Drosophila melanogaster: one gene and its partners. The protein of the gene in region 4 interacts with the protein of the main gene of each other region in a pairwise test. Each region holds a gene or a part of one and is shown on either strand. Other genes may lie near its edges. The genes, in order: Argk2, C1GalTA, Nha2 and bic.

Region 1 (3,845 bases), on a different chromosome or scaffold from region 4:
GCCGAGCATCGTCCCCCCGGCTGGAGGTGCATCGCCTCCGGAGTTAACATCTATCCACGGGTGCCACCAGTTCGGGGCATACGCAACAATCAAGAACAACAACAGCAACACTTAGAAATCTTCGGCTCGTCCGCCTTGTCGCTTTTGGGCGGTTCGAACTGCAAATATGTCTAGTTTGTAGCTATGGTGTGGAGCTGCTGTCCCAGTCCGGCAACCTTCGGCATTTTCGTATACTTTGAGGGTCGCGGGCGCAGGCAGGGATCCCATCTTGCAACACCATCAACACCTACAGCAGCAGCAGCAACAACGGATAACTATTTGACAAAAACATTTGCTTAATTACAACCAAACAATGTAAAACATTTTGACATCTGTGTCAAGCAAAAACAAAAAAAGGAACTTTAAATACTTTTATTTAAGTCTTAAGTTTATAAAAGAATTAAAATTATTAAAAAAAAAATAAAAAAAAAACTTAAAACTCAATGAATGTTTTGTATTCAATGGATATAGAGGACATATAGGGTATACAAATATTTAGTTTATTATTTATTTAGAGTTCATCACGGCCTTTAACCTTTTGTACACTTCACGCTTTACAACTAAGCTGACTTTGCCTTACACTCGGCTTCTATGAGACCCTTGATTCCATCGTGCATCTCTTTGATGATTTCGTATTCGGTTAGTCCCATCCTGCGTTGGTTGGATATATCGTGCACTCCGCCCTTGGCCTCTGAGTGCTCGCCCGAGGTTCCTCTGATTTGTAGACGATACTTGTCGGCCAGCTTTTTCATCTCGTCGGGATCACACATTAGATTGGGCAGCTTGATGTGCACCGAGGCGCGAATAGAAGTGCCCAGATTGGTGGGACAGAAGGTTAAAAAGCCAAGTCGTTCATCCCTGTTGAATTGCAGCTGCTTGCCGAGAGCCTCCACGCCGCCAACCATGCGATCGTAGACCTTGCCCAGGTCGCCACCCTTCTCCATCGAGATGATGCGTATGTGGTCCTCCTCGTTGCACCAGACCAGAAAGTTCTTGGCGCTATTCAGAAAGATGCCCCTTCCCGTTGGCCAATATCGAGAGGCTCCAGCGGAAGCCAGAAATCGATCGCCCTCCTTGAACAGATAGTGATCCTCTATGAGCTGCTCCTGTATGCATTTATCCATTCCAGTCAATGGCATGTATTTACCCTTGTACTCTCCGGTGAGGCTAGTCACTGCCCCACAAATCTTACTCTCCAGCTCCATGTAGTCAGCCTCCGTTAAGCAGGGATTGAAGGGGTATCCTTTGACGGCTCTTCCGCAACGGACACGCGTGGATACGATGAAATGGCCATCGGGATCTAGGTTTTCAAAATCCGCGCCTTTGCCGAAAGCAGTCGCCGGCTGTTTGTCCGTCTTCTTGAAGCACTTATGGTATTCCTCGATGACGGGATCAAAGAGATCGGCAAACACCTTATATGCCTCCGGATCGGGGGCGTAGAGCCCAACGCCGGAGTCATGATTGCACATTCCCGAACTGATGCAGTGCAGCAGTGTGGAGTTGAACGAGGGTGTAGTCTTCGTCTTTAGCTTCTCGAAGATCTCCTTGGTGAGATGCTTCTTCAGCAGGGACTTGGATTTCGACTCGGCCAACTTCTTGTAGCCCTTCTCCATTTGCTCCATCACCTCCTTGTCCACATTTCCTTTGCTGGCATGGCGATTGATTACTAGCTGCGCACAGCGGCCTAGTAATTGAAGTTCAAGCCGGAGTTTTAAATGTAACAGCATTTTTAGGTGTTGAATTTGGAATGACACCGGCCAGGCTGACCCTAAGTTAGAAAGTGACATTAAACCAAATGGCTAGAATAAATCTAGTAAAACGCCATTTAGTACGAACAAAAAACAGACGGTTGAAAACTCCACTTTAATAGATATCGGAAAGGAGATTGCTAAGCAAAGACTCAATCTATGTACAAGTAAATTTGAAATAAATAAAGTATAAAGTAAATTTTGATATACTTGAGTTCCTCATGGATTTAAAAATTGTTTTCACAACTATGGTTTTGCGCTAAAGTAAAGAAATCATTTTCATTGATACTTTTTTAAAGAACCGTTATATGATATTCACTTAATGGTTTTTAAAAATACAATAATGCATTTAAGAAACAATTTTGTTTGATAGTGTACTCATATAGCACGGCTCCAAACCATTGTAAAATACATGGCAAATGTAAAATATTATGTGTAAAATAATGCGTAAAATATGTAAAATACAGGGAAATGCTTAAGAAATGTATACAAAACCCATCGAAAATTGGTAGCTCAAATACTGGTTTTAAAACACTCAGTTCTTCTGTTTAAATGTAGACTTTCTAAGATATATATTACTAATGTAATTATATAATATGTTTAATACGGGTGTAGAAGCCATCAAAACCAAAAACTATGTTTTATTTCCTTTTGACTTTTTTTATTTCAATAAAATACTTAGAACATTATAGAAAAAGGTGTGTTAATTATGATTAGTTTTCACAATCCACCTCGACCTGTTCTCGTTCGCACAATTTAATTGAATATTTGCAAGCTGTTGGCTCGTAAAACAGAGAATGCGAACATTTTTATAGCTTAAAGCTTAAATACCAAATCAAATATATTATAATTAGCAATAAAGAACAACAAAAGCGGCAGCGGCAACAACAATATGCTAACATGTGGCGCAAATAAAATTCAGATCCGAACGGCAACACCTCCTCAATAAAGCATCGTTATCCTCATTATCATTATCAACAGCTTCGAACGAAAACCGGATTTGGATTTGGGCATGAGTATTGGACCAACCTACACATAAAAATTCATTAAGTATATTAAAACAAGCGCAAATTAGAAATGCAATACCGGAGCGACTTCGATTTCCATTTTTATCTCATAATCTACGAATTTTGACGCTTTTTGCCACCGTTTTTTCAAAAAGAAGCCAGCAGCGAGTCAGCAAAAAAACACCTAACATTAAAAAAAAAAAACACTTCTGAGGCACAGACGCCGACAACGAATGTGATTTGATGTTGTTTTGGCCCCTTTTGTTTTTGGGTGAAAACGTGCAAATCCCATAATTTAATTGTTTCAGCATTTCAAATGTAAATTTATGCACCAACAAATCCAATCGAAGACGAGGAGAAACACAAAGCGCTAATACAAAACTAAGCCCAAATTAGTCAAAAAGCCGCTTGAAACGCGGCTTCGTGTGGCTGGTGAATTATTTCGCGCTGATTTGGCTTACATTATGCATAATATATGCATCGATTTCTATGAATGGAAGCCAAATCGATTCGTTGCCCCTTTGAACTATCCGCAACGACTGGCTAGATAAATTCTCTGTGGTCCCATCTCCTTCTGGATGCACTTAAAAACTTAATTAAAAATATTAAACACGAAATGTTTGGCGCCACCGTTTAGGAAACGCTCAAAAGTGGACCGCACACATCCACGGAGCGCCGAGTTATCAGCTCAATTATGCAAGCTGAAAGGCAGCCGCCGGGCCACAGACAGATTTGTCGCATTTGACACGATAATGCACACAAGGAGTGACCACACCAAAGTCTCTCCAACCGACTCGGCATCGGTTTCTGTTTCGGTTTCTTGGCCAGCTCCCACTTCGTTTTGGCCTGGCCAATGGCCATAAAAGGTGCGATAAAACGAAAATTTCACAAGACGGCAACAGCAGCAAGTGCACTGCAAGAAAAGTGCTTCGATTTTGAAATGATCAGATGAATGTTGAATTTTTCTTTCTTTAAATTTACTTTAAAAACCATTTCTATTAGCAATACCATAAGCCAAAACTTACTTAGTTGAATTGAAATGTGTGATACT
Region 2 (4,820 bases), on a different chromosome or scaffold from region 4:
ATAACACCAGTTTGTCTCGTCAAAGATGTAGTACCTTGCACAGATAATAAAAAAAAATATTTTGTGGCATTGTAAAGCTTAAAAAATTCCCTCAATGTGTGTGTGTAGAACCCTTGACATAAAACGTTTACCTCATCATAACTCAAATAGATAAGCATAACTATATTTATGGGTTTTTCAAAACCAGCTTAATATTGTAGTTAAGTTTTCCCAAAAGTCAACTTATGTAGCTTAAATTCTTATTCACTATATATGTATAATAATAATAATAATCTAGTTCTTAACTAATTCATCGAGAGCGCGTAATGGAGCACCTGTTAATAGAAATTAAGCTAAACTAAATTTATTATTATGTCATTCAGTTAATAGAGTGCCTTTTGCTTTTTTGCTGCCCTATACTCAGACTAGCGTGACAGTCCATTCATCGTAATTTAAAAAAAAAAATGTAAAAACAGAATGGGCCAGAAAGACAAACTAAAACCAGAAACCAAACCAATTGTACAATTGTTTTGTTTGGCCGCTTTTCATCTGCGGTCAATAAAATCAGCCACGCTCTGCGATCCCGCAAATATTTTAATTCAGTTATTGTATTTTATTTTTGGAGCCCGTATAAGCAAAGTACCCTGTACTTAATGTTTTGGCTCTATGATTCTCGTTTTATTTCAATTCACTTTCAGTAACTTCCCTTTCAGATAAACAATACAGTAAGGACTGGCACAATGATGTCGGCAGCTGTTTATCAAAGTGGAACTGGACTGCGGAATTGTTATCAGGCACAAAAAAAAAACATGGCATTCGTTTTTAAAACTCTGTTTCTTTGTTCATCGTGTAATAGTACAATACAGCAAATGAAAATGGAAATATTAATATGATTCATATAACGAACGAATGAGAAAAGTGATTATGCCATTAGTTCAACCTTAAAGAATTCCATTCCTTAAAATTTTGTATACTTTACGGAGAGCTTATCTATAAGAGTTCTCAAGTAACTATTATTTTCTGTCCCAATGAACAATATCTATTACTCTGTTGTTCAAACGACATCGACAAAAGCAATGTATAAGAAGAAAAGTCGGAATGTGAGTTCTTAATTAAATATTGATTAAAAGGCTTTGCTGATAGATAATTGATTGCTGATTAATGAATAGGTATAGCGCTATTCACCTGAATCTCACGTGAAATGGCACCTTTTTGGGGCCATTGAACAATATTCTATAGTATAGCCCGCGGGGCATGGCACAGCTGGTTTAAGGTTATTGGGTTAGTCTATTCAAATTCAGATTTTTGGCTTTACGAAATAACACACATTTAAGAACAAATACACCCAATACAAGAAATAATACATTAAAAACTATTTGACTTGGTATTGAATATTTTTAAAAATAATGTAATAATACATTAAGTAAGGAGCTCTTTAAGGATCAGTCTTTTAGAGTCATTCATAATTATTAAAACTCATTTACTAGGTAGTTCTCTTCTGGAAAACGAAAACATGCTAAAAGTAGCATAAAGTACTATTCTTATTCAGTCCCATATGTTGCAAGGAGAGTTCATTACTTTGATGACTGATGGAAATGGCTACTGTTTTTTTACTTGAAGCAGGAAGAACCATATGTATGTTTATAGTACAAGTTCCAGCTTCCACTATCAGTTGAATTTGAATGGCAATCACTAGGTGCAATCTGCATATGAATTATCCCCGCAACAATAACAAGAGAAGGCTAATCAGAGAGCAGAGACGAGAAATACAAATACAAATGCACGCACAATAGCATGTGCTGCTCTCTCTCTCTCTGTCGAGATAAAAATGAGAGGGAGAGAAAGTGACGCCCACTGGAACCACAAATAAATTAAAGTAAATGCGTTTCGGCTGCAGTTAATTCACCCCCCGGATGCAAAAGGGAATAGAGGGGGAGGGCTGAGTGCATGGCAGGGCATAACGGAAATGACAACTGAAGAGAGCCGGAGAGCGAGAAACCAAAATGCAGCTGTTTGGGGAATGTCATTACATTAACAGAGACAACAACAACCACCAGGATAAGACATCACGAATTGGGAAGCCACTTCTCGCCTAGTTATCAACATATTCCTTTGTGTTTAGCGGGTTATTAAAAATACTCAAGACCAACGACCCTCAAACAGATAACATATTAGAGTTGTCGCCTTAAATGCCTCAAACACACTTGGAACAGAACGTTAAATTTAATAAATGCTGTACCTTATAATTTAAACTTTTTGCATTGATTTTATAATTTTTAGGCATAGGATCAGAGTTTACAAATATTTTAGGAATGGGGACCCAAGAGTTTAGCTATTTTTTTTATACTGTTCTCAATTCTTTTCTTCATTAGCTTTATTTTAACATCCTGCAGCAAGGGGCTTTGGTAGTGTGAGTGGCCGGACTGGAAGGAAAGGCCGTCAGGCAATTCTTCCTTCCACTTCCTTCTAGTCAATTTCAGTTTCCAGTTGGAAACCAATATATGTACATATGTATATTCTCGTGCGTTACTTGCCGTAACAGTGGCTTAAACTTGTTCGTTCTTATTGTTTTGGTTTTATTCACACTCTTCACCTTCGTTTGCTCTTCCTTGTCACGTTCTTCTTGCACTCTATGTACATACACCATATGCGCAATTGTATATTATATTTATTGCGCTTTCTGTTTTGGCACAAAACGCAATTTTTGCTGACCGATTAGTTTTCCGTTCAGGTAAATTCCGCACGCGTTTCATTTCATTTGATTTTTAAATCACCGTTTTTCGCGTCGCCCATTTACTTACGAATTGATTTTTCCTCACGCGTTTCTCCATCGCAGGACGCTCCCAAAAAGCTTTTAATTTCGCGATGAGTGCGTTTTATTCACAACTGCTTTCACGTTTTGCACATTCGCTTAATTGCTGTGTTAGTCGAGCCACTCGAAATATTTAATTAAACTTATTTTCCGCGCCCTTTCCTTGATTTTCAACAAGCGCATAAGTGAAGCAAGCGAACGCGCCGGACAAACAAAAACAACTGCCGCGAATTCTAAAACTGAGCACGAGCGAGAACGAAGAGAACAGAGTACACTGGCAAGAAAATGTTGAAAGTTGTAAATTAAAAAAATTTATGATTATGATCGAAGTTGAAACATAAGCTATTATTGCTGTCTAGTGCAATAAAAGTAAAAAATTTGAATTTAATTACACCAAGTATTATTAAATATATTATTTAAAATATCAGTTCCCAATAAGTATTTTTAACTATTTCATATTTAACCAGAATATAGTACAAATTAGTACAAAAACAAATAAATTTAAATATCGCAGTATACAAGTTATTTGTTTCTACCTGTGCAATCAACAGAATTAAGTGAGAGAACCAAAGCTCACTCTCTCTCTCTCTCGCTGTTCTTTTTATATGCTTGTGTCGGAAAGGGGGTGTAAACCGGTACCGGCTTTCTATAAAGAGCGAGAGTGATTTGAAAATTATAAAAAAAACTTCTATTAAACTAAAATATTATAGGTAAGATATGTAGTTTGTATATATAAGTGGTGTGACTTCGATTTATCAATGGCCTGTTTCTCTCATCACTCGCTACTAGTCACCATATATTTGGCAAAACAGCTGTTGGAAACTATCTTAAGGGTTTGTTTTTGGGGTTGGTTCTAAGATTTGTGTCCACTCTTTCGAATATTACTTTCTCAAAGAATGAATACAAATATATGTGCATAATATATAAATTGATAATTGTACGTCTGAAATATCTCCAAAAATCACAATCTAGAAAGGAAAGAATATAAAATTACCGAAAACTTGTTCAAATTTTGATTTTTGAAAATCATTAAAATTATGATAGGGATAGTTAGGTATGCTTATGAGCAGTATAAAACAGTGTTTTTTTTCGTTAGATGTGCCACCTTTTTTTTACCAAGTTATAGAGAAAACCCCGTTTAAAAATATAAGATTTTTGTATTTTTTTTTTTTTTTTTTCTAGTAAGATTTCACAAGCTATAAAAATAGTTGTCCAAAACCGTTATTAGAAAATATAACTAACATCAAATTTGAATGCAAGAAATTTTTTGCATTGTACGTTAAAAATTTGCGATATCGCAACTGTAATTAAACAAGTTATGTATACGCGCAAACTCGTTAAGAAACGTTTTTGTTTGATTCGTTATCTATTGTACATTAACAACCGGCTTCTGTGATGCTAAAGACTTCTAATACTTCATATTCGAAACCTGAACATAGACTACTTGAAAATTTATTAAGGTAACTCCATGTTGTCAGCCAAAATTAGTGAATATACGTTAAATATTTTTAAACCCAGAAATCGAAATTAATGCAATTGGTGACGAATGCCTTTAATAAATATTTATTGATGTGGGGCTGGTTAATGAGTTCATATAACTTTTTGCAATCGATCACTTCAGATAAGATAGTATTTCTTGTTAGCATTATCTGACAACTCTGATAAGGGCAAATTCTGTCTTCTAATTAGTGAGCAACGAATGAGAGTTCAGGAGTTTTTTAAACGCTACAGTCGAGTTTCGTGACTACCAGATACCCGTTACTCAAAAAAAATGTTTTAAAAGTGTCGGCGTGATGTTTCGAAATAAAAATGCCGCGTGTCAAGATCCGTTACACCCTTTTCAACAAGTCGAGAATACCCTCTTAAGCTACGAGTAACGGGTATAAAAATCGCTGACTGACTTTATTTTTTTTACTGTAATCTTACACATTATCTACACAACCACAAGTATATACAGTGTAGATCAACATTAGATTCGTAGCAATCAGCTTTCATTTGCTGACGTTCCCAACGATCTGCTAAATTTGAA
Region 3 (4,994 bases), on a different chromosome or scaffold from region 4:
TGCGAGGTGACCATCAAAAGCAGGTAGACCCCATCATGCACCCAAGACTGGTCCCAAAACATAGGTATTCTAAGCTAATTAGCAGGTAGTAATCGTGTTTAAGAGCTTTGAGGCAAGTTTAAGAACTGATGGCTGCGAAAGCGGCGATAGAGCAAACCAAAATGCAATGAACATAAAATAAGAATAAAATGTGAAATGTATGCTTTGTAAATTATATTTGCATTTTTTCCATCGACCGCGTATTTATACGAAAAATGCAAAACGCAATTTGGAAATGTGTTTAATTTGCAATATTTTTAATTAATAAAAACATTTAGAAATGTGCTGGCCTGGCAGTTTGAAAGTCCTCGCCATTGAGTGTCCACGTTGAGCTCAACAACCTGCAGATGCTCTATAAGAGTAGCGAGCTAAATTAATGGTTTGTATGGTACTTTAATGAAAAACAAAATAAATCTTTCTGCGCCATATGCGATTCTTTTGGAATATCATGACCCATTTCAAGAGTATCTCCATTAGTCCTTGCATCCTTATGGCGGAATAATAACACCAATGTTTGTGCAAAAGAAATTGAAAAACTGAAAACTGAAAACTCAAAACAGAAAACTGAATACTGAAAACTGGTAACTAGCGCCTGTCTGTTTGCTGCCTCCTGATAATTGACTTGCATGCAAATTAATGTTTTTTGCATGTGGGCGTAAATTGCTGCCCTGTCTGACAAACAGTAAACACGGTCAATGCAGCGGCGAGTCATTTTCATCAACGCGCCGCTGCACTATACATAAATCTCTGCCCCATCGATGTTTACCATATTTAAGGAAAAAATTCCAATTTGATGCAACAAAAATCACGGCACTGTAACAACATGTGTGTGCGTGGCAAATAGAGCGAGAAAGTTGTATTATCCTTTTTGCAGCGCCCCGCACCTCACAATGTCCTGTTTTTTTTGAGCCATCATCATAGTCATCATCATCGTCGTCATAATGGCCATCTTATAGAGTGAGAGTGCAACTGCAACTCCATACAGTGCAAAAAAGTGTGTGTGCATAGTTAAAATAAATTAAATATTTTCGCAAACGACACTTTTTTTGCGCAACAACGTGTGGCACCTGATGAGGAGATGATCTGACTGGAGCACTGGATAATGGTGGTGACGTCACTGCGATTGGTTATCTTTGTCATGGGGCTGGTTTGTCCATCAGGTAAATTAAAAATATTCCAGCGAAGCAATTAAATTACAGCCACGGCGTGGGAGTGGCCACGGCGCCCAATATGATGAGCAACGTCAAAATGCAAATTGTCAGAAAAACAATTTGCAAGACAAGCGAAACTCTTTTTACTTCAAGGAAATATAATTGCTTTCCAAGCTCACAAAAATTAATAATTAATAATAAAAACAATATAAGGTAGTTTTTTTTTTAATACCATGTAAACGCAGCTGGCAAACTAAAGCGCCATCTATGGCACAGAATTGCCGCCCCAATGATAGAGCTCAAATGGGGCAGGTCGCGCACATTTCCCTAAAAAAAAGTGAAAGCGTTTAATCATTCCGACACTCACACATGGGAAATGCGCTATGATTAGAGGTCTATTAATAACGCGGCTATTCGGCGCCTTATCTAGTTCAGATAAATTATGATTACATGACAATTATTTATCAGCTAATTGGCTGCGCCTTAGAAAACTATGGGCATATTGAATCGCAGATAAACGAACCCCTTATAAATATGTAAGTGCTTCCAAACAGACCCCACCCCCACCCCTCATTTCACCCAACCCAGAAACCAACTCATTCCGCACTTTTCGCTCGACAGCAATGAAAACAGAAGGTTCGCCTTCCGCAGAGCTTGTTTGTTTGCCAATTAGTTTTAATCGAAGAGCGCTCGCTGGAGCTGCGCGAATCGGCAATTGCTTGTTTAAATGGCTTTTGCTTTTCTAATTAATGCGTTTGGCAAATATTTGCCAGTGCATGAGCTGTAATAAAAAGAAGCTCCAAGTGCTCAAGTTCCGGGGCTACTACACTATTTCATTCCGCCTTTCCGCCGGTCGTGTCGCGCGTGTTCCGTTCCCTGCATATACTATACTATATACTATATATCCACTCGATTCGCAGCTAACCAATCTCTTCAAACCGCGGCGTTTCTCTTTGGCACTCGTCAATTTTGAGCCAAGAATAGCCATTTGGACTACGTCATCGTACTGATTGCGTCAGCAGTTGTCGCTCTTTGGCATTATTTTCCGCGTTTTTTTCACTCAATCACTCAGTTTTGTTTTGTTCTCTGGATTTCGCCGACATTCGACATGAGCAGCGATTCCGGTAAGCGATTCTGGCAGCTTTCGATACTCACTTTCGGCGTTAATTTACGAGTTTATGGTTAATCAATTAAATGCCACTTTTTGCCCAAGTGCCAATAAATAAATCGTGTGCAAATATGTTCGGGCTTCCACAAGTCAAATTGTTGGGAAATTAACTCTTTTATTTATATACTTGGGACTGGAAAATAAGAATGGTAGAATGGAATTATCAATATTTTTTGTTTGATTAGCAACCCTTCGGCTTTATCTATCATGCGTAATTAAAAATGTTACCAAATAGCTTGAGTCAATTTTTTTTGTGGGAAAAAAGTATGAATATAAAGCGATTTTAATTTTAATATCATACAAATTAATTTATATATATATATATATTTTTTTTTAGATATATTGGATGTAGTGGCAGGCAGTGAGGGTCCACCCTTGCAAGCCTTTCGCAGCAGCAATCCCTTCGAGGACTCGTATCAAATGTCCTCCTGCCAGCAAGATTTCGAACGCGATCGTGATGCGAACTTGACTCCATTGCATATGCTGCGTCGAGCCAGCGAAACGGTGACCGCCAGCATCCTGGAGCCGGAAAAGGAGCACCTCCTTGGCGACAAGCCACAGGTGCCCCCTCGTGCCCATGGAAGCACCGCGCCAAGCGCCATCGAAGGTGAGTGATATGTTTAATTGCACCGCGTCGTCATGGGGAAATTCGAAAAATGCGGAACGAAAGTATTTGTTACGGAAATTCTTGCCTTTATGCAACCAGCTCCCCGGATCAGTGTGCACACAACCCGCAGACAGGACGGCAAAAAGGATGCTGAAGACAGAGACATCCAGTGGAACAGCTCCATGCCAACGCTTTGTTGGCCAGCCAAGCGAAGTGGCTCCGACAGCCAAGTGCACAATGCGTGCTCAGATATGCACATATGCACTTCAGCACATATACGAGTATTCATAGTTTGTTTATGCAAAGTTTTTGTTTCGCCGTCGAGATATCCTGGCAGAATCACAGCTTTTTCTCTCAACTGGCAGGAGCTGATTGAGGCATTTCGATTTTAAGTGAACCGCACAATCACATCTTGCACAAGATGGCGAAGGCGGGCGGGGGACACAGGGGCGTATACGTAATATTTCCGCATATTGACGACAGAGTGTCTGCGATTGACAGTCCAGTGCATCTACCGTCCCGGCTCAAACTCAAAGGCAGGCATTTCCTACACATTCCTTCTGATTTCTGGAAATATGCAAGGCTGTGCCCTGCTGGCCATGTGTGTGGACCACTTTCGTTGGCCGAGCTTTTTGTTTACGCTCCTCTGTTTTGGCAGGTGGCCCTTGCTGGTTTTTCGCCCACAGCCGAGTAGCTAGTATTTTTGAAACTCCCAGAGCAGCAATTGTTTTGCATCTGTTCAAATGCGGGTTTTCGCACCAGTCCATTGTACAACTTTTTGGGAGAATTGGGGAGAACTTCCCTTTGGGCCATCGCAATTGTGGCATTTTCACACGAATAATGAGCCAGTTTAGTTGCGCCCAAATGCCCGCAATCATACAACTAACACGAGTGGCAAAAGCCCGCGGCTCTCGGCAAAGTATGTTCCCATGAATATGCATTAACCGGGGCTCATTTCCTGTGCATTCATTTCGCATTTGCTATTCGCTTTCACATTCGGAGTGCACCACTGATTCTGATTCAGATTCCGATTCCGATTCCGATGCCCGTTTCCATTTCGCGTCTGACTCTGATTTGACTGTGGAAGTCATATTTAAATAAGTTTGCGCACCGCTGCAGGCAGCACTAATGCTCGCATGTGCAGGCACTCGTTTATATTAAATAAATTCCATTTAAATGCAGCGTTTGGGGCAATTCCTCAAGCTCAACCTTGAATGGCACAGCCCTACCATCCACCTGCCCCATCCACATTTCACCTGTCGCTTCTGCTTGTGAGTGAAACGGTGACATTTCTGTTAACTAAAGCCAACATGATATACGCTTGGCACACAAACATGCACTCGTCTATTGATAAATGCAGTGCATTGCGCATTCGCCTCATGCGCCTGTGTGTGTGTGTGTGCAAGTCAGTTCATTACGTATACGCAGTGTGCGACATTTATAAATGCCAGCTAGACTGTGACTCAGCATAATGATTGCCAAATGAATGGTAGAATGTTAACCGTCACGAAAACCCTTTCGACGCCATTTCAATTGGCGCTGGTGCGTTTCGCAGCTGTGTTGGCCCACTTTGGAGGCTTGAATACTTTGGCTAAATCTGAAGGATTTGCAGGCACTTGCACTTGCGCCACAGCTAATTACTAAAACTGCACTTAGTCGCCCCTCCCGCACTTAACCTTTGACCACCTGTCAGACTTTGGCTGCTTATTTGCCGAGCTGCAACGGGGGTTTTTTTTTTCAATTTGTCTCTGGCTCTTTTATTTACCAGCATGGCGCTGAATGGCGCTTTGTGACCTCATTTCTCTACCATTTTTATATAGTTTACCAGCCCGGAGCCAAGAAAGTGCCAGTTTCCACTGATTTGCGATGTATGAGCACTAAATTCGATGCGAATCGCTGGGGCGTGAGTTCATCTCTTGGCAGGAAGTGCGTGACAACGGAATGCAATCTTCTTCCACGCAAAGAAATTATTTTCCGAATGCGCGCTGCATGTGGAGTTGCAAGTCGGCATCAGGATTCAGGACGCGGC
Region 4 (3,961 bases):
ACCTTAATCCGTTATAGGTCGTCGAAATGTGATAAGAAGCCGCAATCGCTTGTTTATGTACAAATGAGTGGAAACTTCAAGAAACATTCCGGTTGAACTGGCCTAATCGCAATTTTAAGCCAATTTAAACGTGACTCATTTCGAAGATTTCCGACCAAAAACCATATACATATTTATATATATACATATGTGCATGTACCGCATGCTACGACTCCCAACTTTGGATTTGGACACATAATTTGGAAGTTGCGTACGGGTCATAGTTCCTGCCGAAGGAGCCTTCTGACCATCTGGATTTTAGACGTACCATACCAAATGTCAACAAGTTTTCGACTGCCGCGTGCTTTGCGCCACACCTCCCACTACCCCTTTCCCATCACCTCGAAAACCTCACACAAGAGCGTTGCTATGCATACACACACAGGCCCACACTCACACACATGTCGATTATGCAAGCAAAGAAAAAAATAGGCATTAAACTAAAAAAAAAATGCTGGAAATATGAATGGGTCGTATGGTTTTTACAGCTCATTTAATGTTATGCATGGTAATGATGGTCTAAAACAATAGTTTACAAATTATAAGCTATGCTTTCAACAATTTGGGCACATTGTTCTCGAATCGAAATTGTGGCCTCAGCTTGTTTTCGTTTTCAATTGAGGATTCCTTGAGGGCGGGGTTACATCGAAAAGTCGGAAATTGGGGAAAATCGGTAAGAGCTAGTAGTGCTAAAAATATATTTCTCTGTCCTCGCGACCTGGCAATGAATTCATCTGGAGTGTCTGCGTTGTTCCCCTAATCACCTCGTCACAATTCTTCCGAAAACCGTATCGTATATATATAGTATATAGTGTTTTATGACAGCGCATATATCTATAGATACATCTGTGTGTGTTGTTCTTGGGAGGGCGGCAAAAATTAGAATGTGTGTGTTGTTTAGACTGTGGTTTTTTTTGGTTAAGGAAACGTTCTTTAATCGCTTTGGAAAATACATTTGACTGTTCCAAACTAGTACAATTAGATTAAGATTGAAGGGTTCCCTTAGTATGTTAAGTATAGTTATTATGCTTATGTGTTCTGTTCAGCGCTCACTCGGATGCCTTTATTTTTGTATTTTAGTATAGTGTGTAGCATGACCCCCAAAAAAGTGGCTGGAGGGAGCACGAAGAATGGCCCATTCAGGGCAGAAGCGCTGGTTGCAGTCCGGAGTGGATCCGTTTCCGATTTGGAACCGGAATGGGTAAGTGGTAGATGTGTTTCCGGCGTGTCTGGTGTGTGGGTTCTGCCCTGTATGCCAGCCACTTCGTCTTGCTCCCTGGCCCCGTATGTTTTGTATGTATGTTTTTGTGTTCGGTGTGTGGTGGTGTGATTTGCCCGGGTGGGCGGGGTTGGACCAGCCTAAGCGGAGGCCGCCACCTCACCGGACTTCTCCTCCTTTGTGTCGGCGATGGCCACCTCCTCGAAGTTCTCGACCAGATCGGGCACATCATCGTCACCGGCATCGGCGGCTGAAGAGCCGGCTGCTCCGCCGGCGCCGCTCTTGCTGGCAATCTCCGTGGCCAGCTTCTTCAGCTGGTTGATGTCCTGGGGACCCAGTTGCGTCAGAATGCCGGGCACCATCTCGGTGATCGTCTTGTTCTCGCCATGACCCGTGATGGCAAACGTGTTCGTCGGCAGCGAGGCCTGGGCCTTCGGATTGTTGAAGTGGATGACGGTGCCATCGTTCTTGATGATGTTCACCTCCTCGATGCCGGGAATTGTGTTTACCGACAGCTTCTTGAGCGACGACTGCAGCTTCTTGTCGTCGGTGGCGGGCGTGGAGTGGACGATCTTCTTCTTGCGGCGAGGGGTGCCCTTGCCGCCAATGCGCACCTGCGCCTGCAACTTCTTCAGCTTTTCCGCGTTCATCTGTTCAATTGAGTACACACAATGGTCGCATCAGTAAAACGCCAATCGAATGCCGCACTTTCCACTACTCACTTTGATTTTACTAGAATTTAGCACAGAGCCTTGCCAGAAAACACGTGCGCCCAGTCGTAGTCAAATGTCAAAAAGAAATCGCCATGATAAAAATGGCAAAAGGTGTATGTATATGTGAGTAGTACTGGTAGGAAGTACTAAACGTGAGTGTTGACTATCGATAGCTCACAAGGTGGCAACCAAAGCGCGCCAAAGAAATTTAAAAATTCTATTGTTTATATAATTTATACATTATTTTTGAAGTAATACGTTTTCTGAATTTTGAATGAATTTTTAGTTTTGAATATATTCAAATTTTTAGTAGTATATGGTGGGAAAGTAAATCTACTCAGGGCATAAATCTCAATTTAATCGATTTACTTTATTTTCATCGCTTTCAACCACATATATAAGTAAATATGTTTAAAAATTTGCTATATAAAATTAAAAATAAACGTGGTAAGAAAAAAAACCAATTTACTAAACATTTGGAATGTTAATAAACATAATTATGAGCCATCATAAACCCAGCAATAAAGTTTTAAACACAATTAAACCAGATGTAATGTTTGAATTAATTAATTCTTATATTTTCTATTCCAATAGTATCGATTGCTTTGTTGAGTTCGATAGCTATCGTTGGCTTGCATCGACTACTCACTAAACTCAGCAGTCAGTGCTGCATAACGTCATCATTATGATAAATTGTAATGTTTTAAAAAATATCTATACAAAATATACAAGCTTAGTATAACAAACTCAATTTAGTAAATATTTGGAACGCAAATAAATAAAATTATGAGCCATTATATACCTTGCAATAAAGTTTTAAACACAATTAAATCAGATGTTATGTTTGAATTATCGATTGCTGTGTTGAGTGCGCTAGCTATCGCCGCTTTACATCGACTGCTCACTAAACATAGCCAGCGCAGTCAGTGCTGCATAACGTGCACCCATTATCATCATGATAAATTGTATTACTTTCAGATTAACGCTGATAAGATATAGTTAATTCCAATCGGGCTTCAATAACGACCTTCCGGTAGAGTAGTTCACTGATATTTAAGTGAATTATACGGGTGCTGCCAAAAAGCGGATAAATCCGATAAATAGGCAGTGCATTCCCTGCAACAAGTGGAATTTTCGACTTTAAATACAGATATTAACAAAGGGAAATAACCGCTAAATCCTTGTCAAACGTAAGTATTTCACGACGTCTTATCGACTATGAAACGAGCTTTTAAACACATTAACTTCTTCCGCAGTGGACGACTTTGAGTTGGACGATATAGACGATTTCGCCATGGATTTCTGGGGCATTTTCATGTTCTTTCTGCTCACCTTCCTCATCATGAGTTGCTGCGGATATTGCTGCACCAGCAGACGCCAAGGTGCCGTTCTGTCCAGTGAGTAACTGTATAAAATATATGTAGAAGTATTAGCCTATAAGCCATTAATCAAATAAAAACTCCCCGATGAGTCATTCAGAAAGACAAAGCAGCCGGAGTTTAGCTCAAAAGATGAGTTTTATGAGTGAGCGAGTGTGTGTAAGAGTATATAAAATCCTATTCGTGTTAAGAAGTGATAATAACAATTATATTTAGTCGATATACATATTTATAGAGAGAGAGAGACAGATCTGAATAATGGGAGAGAGCTTTTGGCTTGTTTGGTTTTTTTCTTTTGCCTCTCCACCGATTCGTAAACAACATTAAGTATGCTCAGCAATAAGCGGAACTTACTTTATCAGCAAGGGCCAAAGTAATTGTCTATTTATGTATGTTTATTTATATGGCCGTATCTTATCTGAAACAAGTGAATAGTCTGTTGTCCCTTTCTGGCCAGGATTTTACCAGTTTTTATCCATAATATAATAATTGCTATAATGTTAGCAATTTTAGTATAACAACAATATAATTTAAATTGTTTAAAATGACTCATCCTCAGTAGCGCTTCGATAAGGAATTGATTCATTTTTATAGATAAGAACGACTGACAA

What was found.
Region 1: the proteins of bic (region 4) and Argk2 interact in a two-hybrid assay, tested with the Drosophila melanogaster proteins (one large-scale study listed by BioGRID).
Region 2: the proteins of bic (region 4) and C1GalTA interact in a two-hybrid assay, tested with the Drosophila melanogaster proteins (one large-scale study listed by BioGRID).
Region 3: the proteins of bic (region 4) and Nha2 interact in a two-hybrid assay, tested with the Drosophila melanogaster proteins (one large-scale study listed by BioGRID).

What each region holds. Positions count from the first base shown.
Region 1 is NT_037436.4:9,045,417-9,049,261, reverse strand, and holds Argk2 (arginine kinase 2), read right to left. Parts: upstream 1,824-3,845; 5' UTR 1,767-1,823; coding exon 600-1,766; 3' UTR 538-599; downstream 1-537.
Region 2 is NT_033779.5:8,948,198-8,953,017, forward strand, and holds the start of C1GalTA (core 1 galactosyltransferase A), read right to left. Parts: upstream 3,020-4,820; 5' UTR 2,781-3,019; exon of another isoform or gene 2,573-2,780; intron 1-2,572. UniProt on the Drosophila melanogaster protein: Glycosyltransferase that generates the core 1 O-glycan Gal-beta1-3GalNAc-alpha1-Ser/Thr (T antigen), which is a precursor for many extended O-glycans in glycoproteins.
Region 3 is NT_033777.3:22,995,485-23,000,478, reverse strand, and holds the start of Nha2 (Na[+]/H[+] hydrogen antiporter 2), read left to right. Parts: upstream 1-1,950; 5' UTR 1,951-2,298; coding exon 2,299-2,314; intron 2,315-2,693; exon of another isoform or gene 2,694-2,695; coding exon 2,696-2,965; exon of another isoform or gene 2,966-4,025; intron 4,026-4,994. Other genes in the region: CG34375 (uncharacterized protein), read left to right, coding at 1-27.
Region 4 is NT_033778.4:12,868,350-12,872,310, reverse strand, and holds bic (bicaudal), read right to left. Parts: upstream 2,063-3,961; 5' UTR 1,981-2,062; exon of another isoform or gene 1,909-1,980; coding exon 1,399-1,908; 3' UTR 517-1,398; downstream 1-516.